4 linked regions of the Arabidopsis thaliana genome follow. The protein of the gene in region 3 interacts with the protein of the main gene of each other region in a pairwise test. Each region holds a gene or a part of one and is shown on either strand. Other genes may lie near its edges.

The links.
Region 1: the proteins of SOB3 (region 3) and AT1G26880 interact in a two-hybrid assay, tested with the Arabidopsis thaliana proteins (one large-scale study listed by BioGRID).
Region 2: the proteins of SOB3 (region 3) and FBA8 interact in a two-hybrid assay, tested with the Arabidopsis thaliana proteins (one large-scale study listed by BioGRID).
Region 4: the proteins of SOB3 (region 3) and AT1G11240 interact in a two-hybrid assay, tested with the Arabidopsis thaliana proteins (one large-scale study listed by BioGRID).

What each region holds. Positions count from the first base shown.
Region 1 is NC_003070.9:9,314,800-9,318,846, forward strand, and holds AT1G26880 (Ribosomal protein L34e superfamily protein), read right to left. Parts: upstream 2,082-4,047; 5' UTR 1,883-2,081; coding exon 1,804-1,882; intron 1,681-1,803; coding exon 1,601-1,680; intron 1,363-1,600; exon of another isoform or gene 1,216-1,362; intron 1,131-1,215; coding exon 1,021-1,130; coding exon of another isoform or gene 999-1,020; exon of another isoform or gene 935-998; coding exon 841-934; 3' UTR 506-840; downstream 1-505. Other genes in the region: FEZ (NAC (No Apical Meristem) domain transcriptional regulator superfamily protein), read left to right, coding at 1-184; AT1G26890 (FBD, F-box and Leucine Rich Repeat domains containing protein), read left to right, coding at 2,790-3,578, 3,645-3,854, 3,933-4,047.
Region 2 is NC_003074.8:19,626,228-19,631,241, forward strand, and holds FBA8 (Aldolase superfamily protein), read right to left. Parts: upstream 2,978-5,014; 5' UTR 2,648-2,977; coding exon 2,620-2,647; intron 2,298-2,619; coding exon 2,070-2,297; intron 1,977-2,069; coding exon 1,156-1,976; 3' UTR 521-1,155; downstream 1-520. Other genes in the region: FK (Ergosterol biosynthesis ERG4/ERG24 family), read right to left, coding at 4,142-4,295, 4,488-4,562, 4,707-4,826, 4,903-4,979.
Region 3 is NC_003070.9:28,703,324-28,707,232, reverse strand, and holds SOB3 (Putative AT-hook DNA-binding family protein), read right to left. Parts: upstream 2,271-3,909; 5' UTR 1,702-2,270; coding exon 793-1,701; 3' UTR 542-792; downstream 1-541. UniProt on the Arabidopsis thaliana protein: Transcription factor that specifically binds AT-rich DNA sequences related to the nuclear matrix attachment regions (MARs). Acts redundantly with AHL18, AHL22 and AHL27 in the regulation of flowering and regulation of the hypocotyl elongation.
Region 4 is NC_003070.9:3,766,235-3,771,448, forward strand, and holds AT1G11240 (ribosomal RNA-processing protein), read right to left. Parts: upstream 3,566-5,214; 5' UTR 3,473-3,565; coding exon of another isoform or gene 3,040-3,472; 5' UTR 2,954-3,039; coding exon of another isoform or gene 2,490-2,953; 5' UTR 1,979-2,489; coding exon 1,854-1,978; intron 1,757-1,853; coding exon 1,651-1,756; intron 1,287-1,650; coding exon 1,172-1,286; intron 959-1,171; coding exon 702-958; 3' UTR 520-701; downstream 1-519. Other genes in the region: SYP125 (syntaxin of plants 125), read left to right, coding at 2,490-2,953, 3,040-3,472.

The sequences.
Region 1 (4,047 bases), about 19 Mb from region 3:
CAATGAAGATCATCTTGGTGATCATTGCGACACACTTCGGTTTGATGATTTCACTTCAACAATTAATGAGAACCATCGTCATCATCAAGACCTGAAACAGAACATGACATTGCTGGAGAGTTATTATTCTTCTTTATCGTCCATCAATAGCGATTTGCCAGCTTGTTTCTCCAGTACAACCTGATGTATGTGGATAGATTTTCCCATCTCTGCCTTCTTGGCTTGCTTTTTTCAAGCTAGGGTATTTCCTCTTTGTAGGCTTTCTCTTTCACTAAATTAAATCGTTTATTAATTATGCTTCCTTGAGTTTTTATTTTTCACAAGCAACTTTGCTTTAATGAAGAAGGCATGAGGTAAGTCAAGATGAACAAGAGAAAAACTGAATCGAGTTTTACTATATTCAAAATAAAGACCAGTAAGTATATTATTTCTGGAGCTGACTTCATTAATCGCATACGAGACTGTCGTTGTAGAATTCCCAAAAATTGAAGCATAGTTAAGATTTAAGACTCAAAATTGCTATTCCATAGTTGTGTCATGACGCTGAGAACATTAAAGTGCAAGCTTGATTTAGCCTCCGAGAGATTCAGAAATATTATATTAACCAAGAAGGTAATCACAACAGCTTATGTGATATGCATCAACAATAGAACATTAAAGATGAATTCAACAATTCCAAAACTGAAGAGAAGAGAATTGTCGACAAAGTTAAGAACTGATAACAGAATACAAAGCTTAAAAATTGGTCGAGTAACATAGATGTCCTCACATGACTGCACCAAGTCCTATCACTTGAACATAGCCATAATTCCAAAACAGAGAAGAATAAAACATAAAAGCTTAAGCCTTGGGGGCTACTTTCTCCTTAGCCTTTTGGAGTTTCAACACTTTCTTCACAATCTTTTGCTCTTCGACAAGGAATGCCCGAATGATCCTGTCGGAATCCAAAAACAACATTACGTTAAAGAACACCAAATTTATTGTAATAGAAAGATGACTCAAGTAAGATGGACAACAAACCTTTCCCTGACTGCAGAACCAGACAAGACTCCACCGTATGCTCGGTTTACAGTCCTCCTGTTTCTTGATAATCTTGACCTCTTGTACTCAGAGGGCCTCAAGTGAGGGATCTGAATAAACAAACAAAGTTATTCACATAATGCAAAAGGAATATGCCATTGCATAATCAAACATATATAGTTGGGAATAAACTGAAAATTTATGCCAAAGGTGGATAGCAAATCCTTATGTAATACAAGGAACAACTTGAAAGACAAAGTGGCACCGACAATTTAGCTTATGATTTATGTTATGTACTGATGTGGGATTTATCTAATCAGCACAAGACCGTCAATAAGCACAATACTATTAACTAAGTAACATGGTTTCTTGAAATAAGAAGACATGCCCATTAAAAATGAGACTGATCAATACTCAAAACATTCTAAAACACTCAATCTGATTGATTTGGTTATACATAGCCATCAAATTCCTAAAAAATTCAAACTCTTAACTCTATCTAGACCTCAAATCAAGACTCTAGATACAAGAACCATGTAAACCAAATCACACGAAGCCAAATCGAAATCAGAAGACTTACTCCTTGAATACGCTTGCCAGTAACAGGACATTTGGGGCCACTAGCTCTCTTCTTTGTGGTTTGATACACCAATTTACCTCCTGAAATCAACAATCCCAACACACATTACACTATGAAGAACAGATCGGTGATTAGAGAATTATGAGACTAAAGCAGAGGAGATTGAAGATATCAAGGAAGAAGAAGAAGAAGAAGAAAGGGACCTGGAGTCTTGACGATACGGTGCTGGTTCGATTTGGTGGCGTAGCTGTGTCGCGACCGGTAAACAAGACGCTGCACCATTTTCGCCTCCTTTTCTCTTTTAGGGTTTTCGTTTGGAACGAAGAATATAAGGGTGAGACTCCAAACCTAAACTAAGACTACAACTATATGGGCCTTTTCTCATTTTGGTCTTTAATTATGCTCCAGTTAAAGGCCCATGTACAAATAATTAAAAAAAATTCAACTTGTAAAAACCAATTCTATTATTAGCTGCAATTAGAATAAGTATCGTTTGTATGTTGTAGTGAACAGAAACTAGAAACATTATTACCAATTTTTATTTTGATTTTTTAAGAAATCATAGATGCATTAAATTATACGTAGAACTTTAAAAAGATTAATTAGTATTATAATCCGTTTAGTCAAAACACATTCAATTTATTTTATCAAATAGTGTAACAACAAAAAATTTAAATTCATGGCACGTAAAAACATAATCGATACATTTACAAGGGCGTGGTGCAAGCAATTAGAGCAAGCCAAGTAGAGAAATTAATCAAGGTTGGCGGCAAAATTGGGAATTGGAAAATAAATTCATCCAAAATAACAAATGGAAATATAAGGACCAGGCTAGAAAATTTGGATTTTCAACAATTTTGTTTGGTTTGATGATTAGATTTTTAAGGGAAAAAACTAACAATTATGTAAGAATGAGAATCGATTGATATATTTTATGTGTGTCTATATTGCAGTTTTACTTTAAAAATTGGGCAACTTTAATTTAGTTTCTTTTTTTATATGCATTAATAATATATATATATATATATATATATATTTTTTTTTTTTTTTCTTTGAACAAATAATAAATATTTGTATAATAATTGTTTTTTTTTGAAAAAAAGCTTTATAATATAGACTCACTTTTGTGTCACAGCCAGCGACGAGAAAAAAGTTCCATTGGCGTCTAGCTAGGTATCCGGTATCCCACATGGCCACATCTATGGGTTGCTTAAGTTGTTGGTCTTTTTTTTGGGATATTATACACGACGATGAGCATATATCAACTGTTCCAGAAACCGAAAGTTGTCAGATAAACGAAACTAGAATCTGTGCTTTTCCTAACGATTTGCTCTTGCAGATCTTGCATCACGTCCCAACAAAAGAGGCAGTCGCCACTTCAATCTTGTCTAAACGATGGCGTTATGTCTGGCCGATGGTGCCTAGACTCGAATTCAAAGAAGATGACAGCGAGAGCGTGGGGTGGTTTATTGAAAAGTCATTGCAACTCCATAAGGCACCGAAACTAGATAGTTTGGTTGTGGAACTCGGTCCACATTGTCCTGTTGACGTAGATGTCGGAAAGTGGGTTGAGAACGTAGTTAATAGAGGTGTGAAAGAGTTAGATTTCAATCTCCTCTGGACCGCAGAACCCACAGGATTTCCTAAGTGCCTTTACACATGCAACACGCTCGTTGATTTAAGTCTATCCAACAAGATTCTAGTGAACGTTTCTTCCCCTGTTCGCCTACCATCTCTCTTAACTCTGAGTCTTCGCTTTGTGGTGTACAAAGACGAAGAATCTCTTGTTAGCCTTTTATCAAGCTCCCCTGTTCTCAACTGCCTGAAGGTGGATCGACATAAGGATGACAACTTGACAAAATTTACCGTGAAAGTATCTACCTTGAAACAGTTACATTATAATACTACTCGGCGGAAGGATGGGGTAGAGGATGAGGAAGACGTGGTAGAGGAAAATGAGGTAGAGGATGATGATGATGTAGATGAGGTAGAGGATGATGAGGAAGGTGTGGTTGAGGAAGTTGACGTAGGTGAGGTAGAGGAGGATGATGATGATGATCTCAATAGATCCTTGGTAATAGATTCCCCTGCATTAGAAATTTTACGCTTACGTAACGTTTTGGACTATTGCTTGATAGAGAATATTTCTTGCCTTCATATAGCAAAACTCGGCTATGTTCATAACCCCGATCACAAGTTTCTGAGATCTCTTTCTTCTGTCATACATATGTACTTGTATTTGACCAAGCCAATGGTACCGATTACATATCTCCGATCCTCTTCTTTTCCTTGTTGCTTAGCCAACTAATGTTATATTTTTTTTTAATCACAGGTTGCGTGGTGTAACACCATCAAGTTCTCTCGGCTCTTGGAGTTTTATTTTGTTCCAAGCAATTTGGTAGATTGGTTGGAACCACTTATGTATTTGCTTCAAAATTCTCCTAAAC
Region 2 (5,014 bases), on a different chromosome or scaffold from region 3:
TTTTATTTGTTATATTGTTTAGCTTTATTTTAATTTCTTTTCCCCCCCAAATTATGTTTAGCTTTTTGAGAAAGTAGCCTCTCGCCGTCGAGCGTGTGTGGTGGGTGTTTTGAAATTGAAACGACTTCTTCTTGTCAAAGTAAATCATGACCTTGACCCACACAATAGACTCGATAAATTCCAATTATTGTTTTCAAAGACAAAAATGTAAAATGATATTTTAGTAAAATGGAAAGAAAAACACTTAACAAAATGGGAAAGATATGATATTTGGTTGTAAGATCTTCAAGTATTCCCATTTTCCAAATATTGTTTTCCTAATCTAGCAAATTCCTTATTCTTTGAATTACACTAAATTATTCAATCGAGCTGGTAAGATAGAAATATTCGATCGTACAAAACACAGCAATGTGCTAATCTACAAACTATTTGGTAGACATGATCTGGAAAGCAAATGCTTTTTTATTTATGATATTCAGTGGAGAACCAATTTAGTATACTTTCATACAGTAGGCCCTTTGAGGCCCATCTTACACATAAACAGAATATCATAAATTAGCTGTGTATTCTCATTACAGCATTTGGCAATAAGCTGGCTTTTGGAATGCTTTTGAAGACAATGAAAACACACTACAGTCTTGTTCATATTCTTGTGTCTGCAAATTAATTGAGAAAGTGTATAACTTTCCTATGTTTCTGAATCTTGTTCGAGGCTCCTTTCAGCTTATGGTTGTAGCCTCATATAGCAATTATGCTCTCACATACTAGTCATATTGTTGAAAAAATGAAACAGGAACGCTTGGTTCATACTCTTCATAGACAGATTTTTATGTGTTTAAAAGACGAGATTTCATATACGAATCAGAGAACCAAATACAATAATTTAGGCTCAAGAAGCGGTAAATCAACAGAAACTGATTTTCAAATTCCACAAGAGGTTCAACAGAAATAACCTCAAATGACTTTTTTATTTGGGCGTGTTTTTAAAATACTCAATTCTAAAAAACAAAACCCAATCAAAATCAAAACACAAATCCAAAAGGAAAATGAAGAAAAAACACTTATAATCCGATAATGTCAAGTAGAAAAACGAAAAATCCCTAGAAATATATCCAGGAAGATGACAAACGTCACAATTCAACCCGTGGACGATGCTCAGTACTTGTAATCCTTCACGTGAAGGCTCTCAGCTGCTCCATCACCAAGCTTAGCGTCACCCTTGTAGGTTCCGAGTGTGGCTTCAGAGTTAGCCTTGCACCTCACATACAACGCCTCTTGAGCTGCCTTGACATTCTCCTCTTTACCTGCCCATGTCTTCAAGGTAGACTGCTGCAACGCACGTCCGAATGAGAAAGACAATGACCATGGCTTCTTGGTCTTCAACTGGTTCATGGCGTTCAAGTTCCTGGTAGCTTCTTCCTCGCTCTGTCCTCCAGATAAGAAGACAATGGCTGGAACAGCTGCTGGGACGGTTCTCTGAAGGGCACGGACGGTGTGCTCAGCGATGACTTCAGGTGAAACCTTGGGGCTGTCAGATCCGGGAGTAACCATGTTAGGCTTCAAGAGTGTACCCTCGAGCAAGACGTGGTGGTCGCTAAGAGCCTTGTAGCAAGCTGCAAGGACACGCTCAGTCACGGCAGCACACTTCTGGATGTCATGGGATCCATCGACTAGGATCTCAGGCTCGACAATTGGTACAAGACCGTTCTCTTGGCAGATAACAGCGTATCTAGCTAATCCGTAAGCGTTCTCATGAATGGAATGCTCAGATGGCTCGTTCTCTCCGATCTTGAGGACTGCACGCCACTTGGCGAAACGAGCACCAGCTTCGTAGTACTTCTTGCATCTGTCACCGAGACCGTCAAGACCTTGAGTGGTGGTCTCACCGTCGGTTCCAGCTAGCTCAACGGTACCCTTGTCAACCTTGATACCGGGAAGAACTCCTCCTTCCTTCAAGATATCAACGAAAAGCTTACCTGTACAAAGAAAACATCATCATCAATAAAAAACAATCACAAAACCACATTACAGAGTAAAACATTAAGTAATAGTATTGATCAAGTTCATACCATCGGAACTCTTTTGGTACAGAGTCTCTTCGAAAAGGATGACACCACTGAGGCATGGAAGAGCACCAGGGGCGGTGAAGAGAAGCTCACGGAGGTTACGTCTGTTGGTCTCAACGTTCTCGACGTTGATGCTCGCAAGACGCTTTCCAATGGTACCAGTGGACTCATCAGCAGCCAAAATACCTTTTCCAGGTGTGCCGATGTAGGCAGCGTTGGCGATCAACTCATCTATATAGGTTTCAAAAATGGAAAAACTTAAATCAATCAATCACCATAAGAGAACAACAACAGAAAAAGTTCCAGATCGTGAATACTAATTAGATCCGTATTAAAACCGATGAGAACATAGTTAGATCTACGCTAGTTTTTAACATAGGAATCATCGACTGATTCATTTCAGCTTTCGAAACCAAGCTAAGTTCACGAATCAACTAGATCTATACGATTAAACACGCTAATAAGAATCAAAACACGGGATAACGAATCGAATCCAATACACGAATCTAAACATGAATAAAGAACTTAAGAGAGATAGAGATCGAGATCTTACCGGCGAATTTGCTTGTGAAGGCAGACATAGTTGGACGGAGAGATCGAGAAATCAGAGAGAAATGAAAAGAGATGCGGAAGAAGGCAGACGAGTGGTGGACCAGTAGAGGAAAAGGGTTGGTTTTATAGCTGCGGATGAGAGTCTATTGGTTGGTGAAAATATTAATTAAGGGTCAGATCTTTGCATGTTCCCCAAGAAATAGCTTTTTCAGCCGTTGGATCTCTAATTGGCAATGTTGGCTAATCTTAATTCTACCCCTTAATAGCGTGGATTCTCAGCAAATTAGCTGAGGGGTAATTTGGTAACTCGTAGTGTTATTTAAGGAAAAGCATGACTTCGGCCTTACGACGGCCCAAACCGTCAGACGAATTGTATAATTGAGATCGTAAGATAATAAATTACATTAATCATTGATTATAGTAGTTTTTTAATCGTAATAAACACTTAATAGTTGACTACGAATCTCAATAGAATATTCTTATTGGAAATGTTATGTGTTTCTAGATTCACAGAAAAAGTGCGACTTTGATATCTCCGAACATAGAAAATTAAGATCTTAGATTTAGATAGAGACATATAACCGGAAAACAGCTGCGACTCTTCAAACGCATGAATAATCAAAAACTATCAAAGTCTTTTGCTTTCTACCGACACAGTATGTATGTAGTCTAGAACTTTTTTGTTGCTATTGTTGTTGTATACATTTTGAAGTTTTAAAGGTGTCTTTTAGGATCTTCAATGGTTTTATTGTTTCTTATCTTTTAGGTTCAAGTGATTATAAAATGAAACATCTTATTATTATAACAAATTATGAGATTTTTACACGTATTTTCAACATTTTTTTAATATGTGTATATAATTTTTTAATAAAACCTCGTTGACAAATAAATAAATTTTAAAAAACTCTATGACATACTAAAAATAAAATATGATTATAAATGGAAACAACTGTTACGATATGCCATAATATCTTAAGAAAGAAACTGATATAGAACATACAATATTTAAAAAGAAAATAGGGGAAAAGAAGGAAATATACTAAAAAGACAAAGAATATATGTATATTGACATGTAAATAGAAACACGGATGTGTATGGTCCATTTAAATTGTCTCCAAGTCGATTAAGATGGTACATCTAGAAACTTCGTAATCGTCAATTTCTATTTTTGTGATAATTTTCCATTTTCTCCTATAAACATATCCATCAGCATTATCATTTATCAACACCACTCTGTTCCTCTATTAGTATTTTTCTCAGTTTTACATAAGTACAATATTACTTTATCATGACATTTTACATCAAACAAATGTCTTTTGTAAAATCTCTGGTTTTTAAACAACCCAAAAAATAAAATCCGAAAATGCTGATATCAATGCTAAAATAATAATAAGGACTGAAGTTATTCTCAAACGTGTACTACAAAGTTTCACTCGAGCATTGCTAAAATAAAACAAGATTATGAAAAAATAAGACACAAGAGGATGAATCTGAAAGGATTCATGACTTGGCTCTTGGCACATCTAATAAACATAAGGAAGTATTCTCCAGGGGACAAGTCTAAGATACTCTGCCCATATCTCCTTGTACTTCTCTGCACATCGAACCTCGTCTCTTCGTTCTCTCCATATCAATAGTATCAGAAGGTATATCGGGTAGAAATATGGAACCGGAGAACTGAGAATACACAAGACAAAATATCATAAAAACAGCTTTGGGAAATGAACTTGAAAGCTTTAGACTTTTCAAATGATGGTTAGAGATCAATATCTTTAAGTCAGCCAAATCAACTTCGAACGTTTTGATATTGGTATTAGTTTCTACATGACTTTTGGTAGCTGTAAGATGAACTCAAGCAGAAGAAGTTACCTTATTCCACATGGCAAACTGAAGGACAGAGCAAGCATCAAGTCGCCAAGGTAATTACAGTGCCTTGCAATTCCCCTGTCATATATACAAAACAGCACCTAAGTTATCGGAAATGTGTCATTGCGGAACTTTCAACTCTTTATTCCCAGCATGATGAACAATCAAACACAGAGATGGCGAAACCAAGCAAAGAAACAAGAGAAGATAAATATAACATACCAATAGCCTGAAACCAGTAACTTTCCACCAACTACCACTGGAGGCTTGCCCCATATTGGTGTTTTTGGGTTCTTCTTAAAGATATGTTTTTGTTTGTTAGCTCCTCGAAAAACCATGTACCTGCCAAAGAAGAAATAGTGGGTTTCTTAGTGTAGATATGTAAGAATGGAAAATAACCCAATGTCTCAGAACTTACCCTATCAAGAAGACAAGGCAATTGACTACAATCGCAGGAACTGTTAGTTCTACTTTGTTGTGCAAAAGCCACCAGCCCTGTACCAGAGAGAAGACAATTCAGTCACAGAGTG
Region 3 (3,909 bases):
ATCGACAAAAATATAGTATGCAATTATCACAGTAACCGCTGTCTTTAAAACAAACTCATAAAATTCTAAATAGTTATTTAGTTTTTCGTAAAATTTCTAAAGCGTTATTTACTTTTTGGTAGATTCTTAACGCGTTATTTTCGTGATTAATTGATAAAAACGAAGAAATATTCATATTGATCTCATCGAAATACAATGTAGAACTCAGTTGGGTGAAACATGTACTAAATCAGAGATTCCATGCGTAAACAAGATATTCAATCTAGAGATTTTCAAATCATAAAATCTCGAAGATTCATGTATGGTATCTAGATGAATTAAAAAGAACAAGATGTTTGATTTGTTGGTTGATTACTTGATAGACATAGTAACATAGATTGAGTGATTACCTTTGATAACTACTCAAAAAGGGGATTACACATACCACATCCATGATATATACAAGTATGAGCCATTTCAATATTTCTATAAAATGTACTCAATAACTTTTTTGTTATCCAATTACAAAGGTAACTAAGTGATATATAAAAATTGGCTTCTAATAGCACTTTTATTGTGAACTCAAGCATATAACAAATAATATATAGGGACAGCACGAAACCCTAGTGATTAAAAAAGAAGAGAAAATGCAGATGGAGAAGTATATCATCTCAAGACGAATTCAAATATTCATATATGATCAACTAAATTAAAAACCAAACGATCCCCAAACAATGAAGATGATTTTTTTTTTCTTTTAATTTTGAGAAATGAAATTTGGTTACAGCTATGTTACGGACATAATTTTCAATTCTAAAAGGCTGGTCTTGGTGGTGCGGCTGCGGCTGCGGCTCCCCAACCAAGCAAATGAGGATCACCGGCAAACTGATCATAACCACTCATGTTACCTCTTAACTGTCCTTGACCGGCTCCAGATGGTGGTGATGATGACGTGGCCGGCGGTGGACCACCTTCTCCTCCTCCTCCCTCTCCAACTTCTCCTCCCTCTCCACCTTCTCCTCCTTCATCTTCAAGGGGAAGCCTTTCGAAAGTTGCATTAGAGAACGATGCAGCCATTAGTATCACTGGACCCGAAGCCACAAGCGGAGCCACCACGTTTCCTCCAATCACCTGACCTTGAACGCCGGAAAGAAAGATAGAAAGACCACCGGATCCTGGCGGCGCAGGGGGCGGCAACACCGTACCTGTGAGGGAAAGTATCTCAAACCTTCCATGTAGAGCCACAACACCTCCGGTTCCACCATTTGCCCCATGAGCCGCTGTCGTTGCCGGCTGCCGGAGACTGACGTTAGCCACCGTGCCGTTACCACTGAGAATGGAGACTCCTCTTCCTCTCCTGCGAGCGTAAGTGGTAACGCTCTCGACTATGTCGGCTCCAGATGAGACTTCAAGAACATGAGATCTAAGCACGTTGGGGCTATCTCTAGTCACTATCACCGGTGGCTTCGGCTTGTTCTTGGATCCCGGAGGACGTCCACGTGGACGTTTCCCGGTTGAACCAGAGGTAACTGGGTCGGAACCCGGATCCTTGTTGGAGTCAGATTCATCATCTGAATTCTGCTGCTGAGGCTGAGGTTGAGGCTGAGGCTGAGGCAAAGGGTGAAGTTGAGGCTGAGGTTGAAGCTGGTGATGAAGCTCAGGCCTGAAGAGGTTGTGAAAGTATCTAGAAGCTCCTCCGGATTGATCGTAACCACCGTCCATGGCAGCCGCATCTACTGACTCTTCTTGTTCTTGTGGCTCATATATATAAAGATATTGTGAGGGTGAAGATAGAATTCATATAAGAGAAACTTTGAGATCCATTGGAGAAGTCAAATTTCAGGAGGTGAGGAGCCAATAGCTTGAGTTGATCGGTTACACAAGCCGACAAAAACAGAGCTAAGAGACACAAATCTAAAGGGTATGCTTTGTGTGTTAAACCCTAACTCGCTTTAGGGCAAGAGAGGAGAGATTCTTCACCCGAGACGGTGTCGTATTAATTGATGTGAAAGAATTCTAGGGAAGCTTCAAATTAATTCATGTGCTGAGACTGAGAGTGAGTGACTCTGCAAGTACTTTTTTTGAACGAGGAAAGGGAAAAAAAAAGCAATAGACACACCGAAAATTTAGCTGAATATCATTCCTTTCGCATTAAAAAATAAAATACGCATAGGGGCATATATTAATATACGAATAATTGCATATTAATAATATACTTGAAATCCATGAAAAGACAAGGGTTTCGAGTTTTTCTTCTCTGGATATATGCGTTTCCCTTTTTGGCATATAGCTTCAAACCAAGAAAATAAAGGAAAACTTTTAAGAGTTAAAATTTAAAGAAAAAGGAAATTAAGAAATTTACAATTTAAAAGCCAAAGGTATATGAATAGGAGATGGAAGAAACATGCTGATATTAAATTGTTGGAATTTTTTTTTATTTTTTTTGATAAAGTTGTTGGAAATTATTATATAGAAAACAAACGAGAAGTCTAAATATAAATTATTGTATAAGTTTTTGAAAGTTACATATCAAATTTGTCCGCATAATAATGCAGTATTCCCTAGAAACAAATGTAATACTCCCACCATTTATCATTATATGCTGTTTAAAGTTAATTAACATATAGTATTAAAATTTAATTAAAGTTTCACTTCTATCTTTCATTAATACACAATTATATTTCTTTCATCAGTTAATACGTTAGAAAAACATAGATTTTTTTTTTGTCAATCTGTTAGAAAAACATAGATAAGACATGAAATTTTAACAAAAAAAAATATTTGCATTGAAAATATAAAATAAAATTTATCCTGAAACAAAATTAAAGTCTTAAAACGACACTTAATTGAAACAGAATAAACAGATGACAAAAAGTAAAATAAAAGTGAATCAAAAATGTTAGCCATGAATCGAATTGCCTTGAAGCGTGTGCATGTAACGCCTTCCATTATGAATTTCATCATTTTCTTTAAAACCGAGATTCTACCTATTCAAAACTAAATTCAGTTTCAAAATGTTTTTGGTCTTGGTCATATATTCTAAAACTAATTAAAAACTATTACCATGAGTGAGTGCACTTCAATTTTTATTAAACTAATTATAAATTATTATTGATAGTAAAAAAAATATAGACCAAACTATTTATTATCAATGTATATTAACTTTCTAAGTTAGAAATTCATGAAATTCGATATAATCTACATAAGGTACCCCAAAAAAGTGTATACAGATTTTAAGTGGGATTTGTTTAAAATAAACATATAAAAAGCATCATCTCTCCAGTGACATGTGTTAAGTTTCTACATTGAAAATTTCATATTTACATCAAAAGTTTGAAAATATCAATATTATATAGGGTAATATTAGAAAGTAACCATGGAATTGAAAAGAATTGAGAGAATAGCCTTGTGTCAGGAAACTTAGGTAAATAACATTTTCTATGGTGGATAAAATACTAAAATATCCTTAGATTTTCTTGTTTTTACAAAAATATCGGTGGTTGTAGTTATAAAGTTTTTATGTATTTGTCTAAAATAATATGATATATTTACAAAAGAGCATGCAATTCTTTAAAATACATACAGAATATATATACACGATATATATGTTTCTCTGAAATAATGTGTTTTTCAGAAATAGCACGAAATATTTATAAAAAGCATGCAATTCTCTTATAGATTGCGAAATTTAAAAAATTACAATATTACATGGGTTTTTATTGGATAACATGACAAATATTTATTTATTTCATGAGTTTTTGTTGGATAGCATGACAAATATTAATATATTAGTGTTAATAACATGTTTTGTTCTTAAAATACATGCATTTTAAAATCAGATATTTGTTTTAAAATCAAATTTAATCTCTTATATCACAACGACATTGACGGAGAATTCAGGTAAAAAGAGAAAATAAAGAATGAGAGATA
Region 4 (5,214 bases), about 25 Mb from region 3:
TAGTTATTGTTTAACATTTGCAGATGAGTTACAAAAAAAATATCAAAACGTGTAAACTGTAACATAAAATGTAAGTAGTAACGAACTATACCCTCCTTGAAACTATACAAAGATTTGTTATAGACTGCAACTTATGTGTTACCTACATATATTATATATACCATATTCGGTAAGATTTCTATTTAGGAAATGTATTGAACTAAATAATTAGATTGAATTCTTTTTTTAGAGAAAGTCATACATATTTGCATTTGTATTCTATTTAGTGAAATATTCATCCTCTGCAAATTTGTAAGCCGTGCCATGAGGCCCATGACGGTTGAACCGGCCTTCTATACGAAATCAGATCATGTTCGAGCATATCTTTTTTACTGCCAACTTGAACCGCTTCTTTAAATCGCCAAAACCAACCCCTTTGCCGATTTGTAGCCACCAAAGCGGTTAGTATTCAACCGCAGTAATTGCTTGTTACCAATTTAACCAAATTTATAGGAAGAGTTAGTGATCAAAGAACTTGGTGAACGGTAAAGTAAGTGTAACATTACAGATTTGATTAACAAATGTGATTGTTACAACAAAACTCAACATTATCCAATTGTTACCCTCCATTTCAACAGCAGAAAAATATCAAAACGCTCGAGAATCCGAATCATCAGAAGCTCTAAAAGCATGCTTTTAGAGGACAACAGACATTTCTACTCCTATCGCGAAGTCTTGATCCCTCTTGCTTGTTTCTTCTTATCCCTTTTCTTCATAGTTTTGGTGGTTGACCGTCTCCTGCTCTGTTTCATGGGTTTGGTTTTCCTCACAGGCACAGGCTGCTTTGTGGAAGCTTTGGCCGTGGAACCTGATTCTGTTGATTGAGTCTTCTCCTTGCGAATAGGCTCTTCCTCTTCACGAGATATCTCACTTGTTGTCACAGTTACTTTCAACTCGCCTGTATCATACATCGTCGTGGCTTTCATCCACAAAGAAACACAACAAATATCAGAACAAAGCCAGTCAAAGCAAAATCATACTAATGCAAAAGCAATCAACGGAGAAAAAGACATCAATAATGCTTGTGTTGCAAACTTCTCCATTCCAATCAACCAGCTTTCACATTATGGCGACAAACTATCAATCATTGCGTAATGGAAAACAAAAAAAAAAAAGATTACAAAAAGATTACCAGATGTTGAAGCATCAGGCTCTGCTTCTTCATCCTCTGCATCCACTTCATCTTCAGCTTCCCCATCTTCATTATCCTCGCCATTACCAGCAACCATTAGCTCTTCCAATTTCCTCTGCAAAGCTCATATACCAGATTCAGAACAATAAGAGAAAAGATAGGCTCAAGTCCAAGAATCAAAATCTACATAATAAAAATGATTGATCATCAACAATCTCTCTGACATCTCATCCACTATTAATCACTCATACATCACAGACACTATCGAAGGACATGTAAAATTTCGATTAACAATTGCGGTCAAAACAAAAGAAGCACTCAAATTTCTATAGAAACAAATCAGAACAAGCTCATTGCACAACCTCTTACCAAAAAGACAGTGTTTTTAAGCTCCAGACAAATCTAAATTTAGCTAAACAAAGAATTTGAGACTAATCTATAACGCATATCAGAATAAGAAGGAACAGTTAGATGCTTACATTCTTACGGGCCTCGATTCGTTTCCGCCTAAAAGCTTCCTCCTGCTGCTTCTGAGCTTCCTTTCTTCTTTTCTTCTTCCTCTTGTGAAAACCAGTCACAAAATCCCTACCAACAAAACAACACACACCAGAAAACTCACTAATCATGCGAATTCAAAGATTCCCAGATTGAATCAGCAGTAAAGTTAGAATTTTTATTGTACTTGAGATCTTTCTCGTCAAAAGAGACGGTGAGGCTTTTGTTCTTGCGAGCTCTCTTCCCAATGTGCCTAGCACTAGTCGGCGTAGCCAGTGAACCCGCCTCCTCATTATGCAAGCCTCCCGTCATCACCAGATACTTCCTCCGATCGGAAACGAAGCGGTTCAGGTCAAAAATTAGGTTTTGCGAGGTTTAATCAAAACAAGCCTATGAAGAAGAAGAAGCAGGAAGCAGAAAAAATGGCCTTTTAATTGGGCTTTAGGCTTTAAGGCTTGGCCCATTATAAGGGTAATATTGTCTTTGACTAAATGGAGCTAATTTGGTTAAGAAAAAGTTATGCCATTGACTAAATTTGGACAATTACCAAAAGTGGCTTGTGTCTCTCGTTTCTAACAAAACAAAATAAACCTTCCCACAAAACTAAAAGTTTTTCTTTTTCACTCATCAAAATAAAACAAAAAAAAAACTTCCTAGCATCTTCTTCCTCTTACTCATGCAGAGGACGACGATGGTGATGTTCATCATCATAATCAATTGCTTTTGAACAAAAACAAAATCAAAGAAAAAAACACATAAAACCCCAAAAAAAAAACTTCTGTACATAATTAAGCCAGAGAAAGAAAATAAAGACAGAGTAAAAATGAACGATTTATTCTCTAATTCATTCAAGAAGAACCAGGCTCAACTGGGGGATGTTGAGGCAGGTCAAGAAACGATGAACCTCGATAAATTCTTCGAGGATGTCGAGAATGTGAAGGACGACATGAAAGGAGTCGAGGCTCTTTATAAGAAGCTTCAAGACTCAAACGAGGAGTGCAAGACGGTTCACAATGCCAAGAAGGTTAAAGAGCTACGAGCTAAGATGGATGGAGACGTAGCAATGGTCCTTAAGAGGGTTAAAATCATCAAGCAGAAGCTCGAAGCCTTAGAGAAAGCGAATGCTAATAGCCGTAATGTCCCTGGTTGTGGGCCTGGTTCGTCTACGGATAGGACTCGATCTTCTGTGGTTAGCGGTCTCGGGAAGAAGCTCAAAGACTTGATGGATAGTTTTCAAGGTCTACGTGCTCGTATGAACAATGAGTATAAGGAAACCGTAGAGCGCAGGTCTTTGTTTTTCTTTAGGTTTCTTGTGTTGCAAGCTATGCTCTGTTTGGGTTGCAAGTTATATGATTATGTTAAAATTGGTGCAGGTATTTCACAATAACAGGAGAAAAAGCAGACGAGCAAACAATCGATAACTTGATAGCGAGCGGTGAGAGCGAGAATTTTCTCCAAAAAGCGATTCAAGAGCAAGGAAGAGGTCAAATCCTAGACACGATATCTGAGATCCAGGAGAGACATGATGCAGTGAAGGAGATAGAGAAGAATCTACTGGAGCTGCACCAGGTTTTCTTGGACATGGCAGCTCTAGTAGAAGCGCAAGGGCAACAATTAAACAACATAGAGAGCCATGTGGCGAAAGCGAGCTCGTTTGTGAGAAGAGGGACTGATCAGCTCCAAGATGCGAGGGAATACCAAAAGAGCTCGAGGAAATGGACTTGTTACGCCATCATCCTCTTCATCGTCATCTTTATCCTCCTTCTCATTCCCCTTCTACCTCACATAATGCTCATGTTGAAGTGAATTTTCTAAAGAGTTGAACTTGAAATCTCAAAATCATCTCTTCGCTTGTTATTTTTCCTCTTATTTTATATTTTGTTAATATTGAATGAAATAGTTAGATTACGGTGAAACCATGGCAAACAATTTGTAGAGATTTTTGAAGTACCAGTTCTTTATTATTATTGTATATCTTTTGACAATTATTATCTTCATCGTTAGTGTTTATATGACAATGTTGTATCATAGATGCTGAAATGTTAGAGTGAAGCATATACATTGTTTTAGATTCAAATTAGGGATTTGTTTCGGAAAATTGGAACTAAATTTTGGGATTAGCAATAGCATTATCAAAAGGGTTGTGTTTGTAAGTATATAGAAATGGAAAAGCATATGGGCTACGTATGGTATGGAATGGAATAAAATCGATAAACTAAATGTATTAAGATAAACAAAGCTTTTAAGCTTATATAACAGTTTTTTCTTCACAAATTTTAGCCTAAAATTTTTGCTAAGATACCACCAATAACGGTGGTATAAATGGTGTCTCTCATAAACCACAACTCAGTTATTTGGAGAGACAAAAGGAGTTTTCATTTATTTATTTAATAATTCATATATGAACTTTACTAGTTGGATGTATTTAAAAACTTTATAAAACGACATTTGTTGTCAAAACCACGTACCTTGAAGGTGGTGTTGGAGTAAAGAATTGGGGGGCATGTGCGTTGGGTGGGCGATCGAAAACGCATTTGCTTACATTTATTTGGCTAAGGACCACTTCAGGAAACCGCTTCATACTAACTTCAGAGAAACGGTAAGATACAACCTTCTTTTTTTTACGTCAAGATTCAGCCCTCTTTTCTCTATATTATTATAATATATGTGTCCGGTGTCCCCATCCATGAATACATATATTTTAATTTCAGTCTTTATCGTATCGGACTCTCTTAATCCCAAAGCCTATGGGAATTAGAAATTCTGATAAGACAAAACTTTCTTCTGCTAAATCCAAAGACTTTCATTCATTTTCTATGAATAATGCACGTTCATCGATAGTTTCCAACTATACAAAACTGAATTGCTTATACACATTTTCTACTAATGTCTTCGACTTCGGTAACGTCCATACTTATCTATCTTAGCTTAGCGTTAATAACTAATAGCATCACTCTAGATTTTTCGATATCAGCACATTCATTTCATTTCATTTCATGTGTTTAGCCTCTTGTAGTGGTTGGGCCAAAGCCATTTTCCTTTAGGTGATTAATTTACCTTTTCAGAATTAGATTTTCGACTCATGACGAAAGCAGAAAGTAGTAACATCCACGATTTACTAAACACCTTGAATCCTATTTTACTAGATAAGGCCCGCCTAAATAAGCGGGTGTAAGATGTAACTGTAATTTTTATCGATAATATTTAAATTTTGAATAATAAAATAATAATCTATACATTGTTCTTGATATATAATTTTGAATAGTAAAATAGTAGTCTTATGCATTTTATTTTATTATACCCATTCAATCTTATTGATGATATTTGAAGTCTAAATAGTAACCTACACACTTTTTCTTTATTATAATTTAGTATTTAGAAGAAAAGAACAAATTTTTTATCTTACATATTCAATTTTGTATACAATTTAACTATCTATTTCATAAAAAGCTTGATTTTAATTCTACACACTTCATCTTACTTGATAATGATTTCATGTCAAAATAATATATATATGAGATCAAATCTATATCTTAGTTAATATTAAA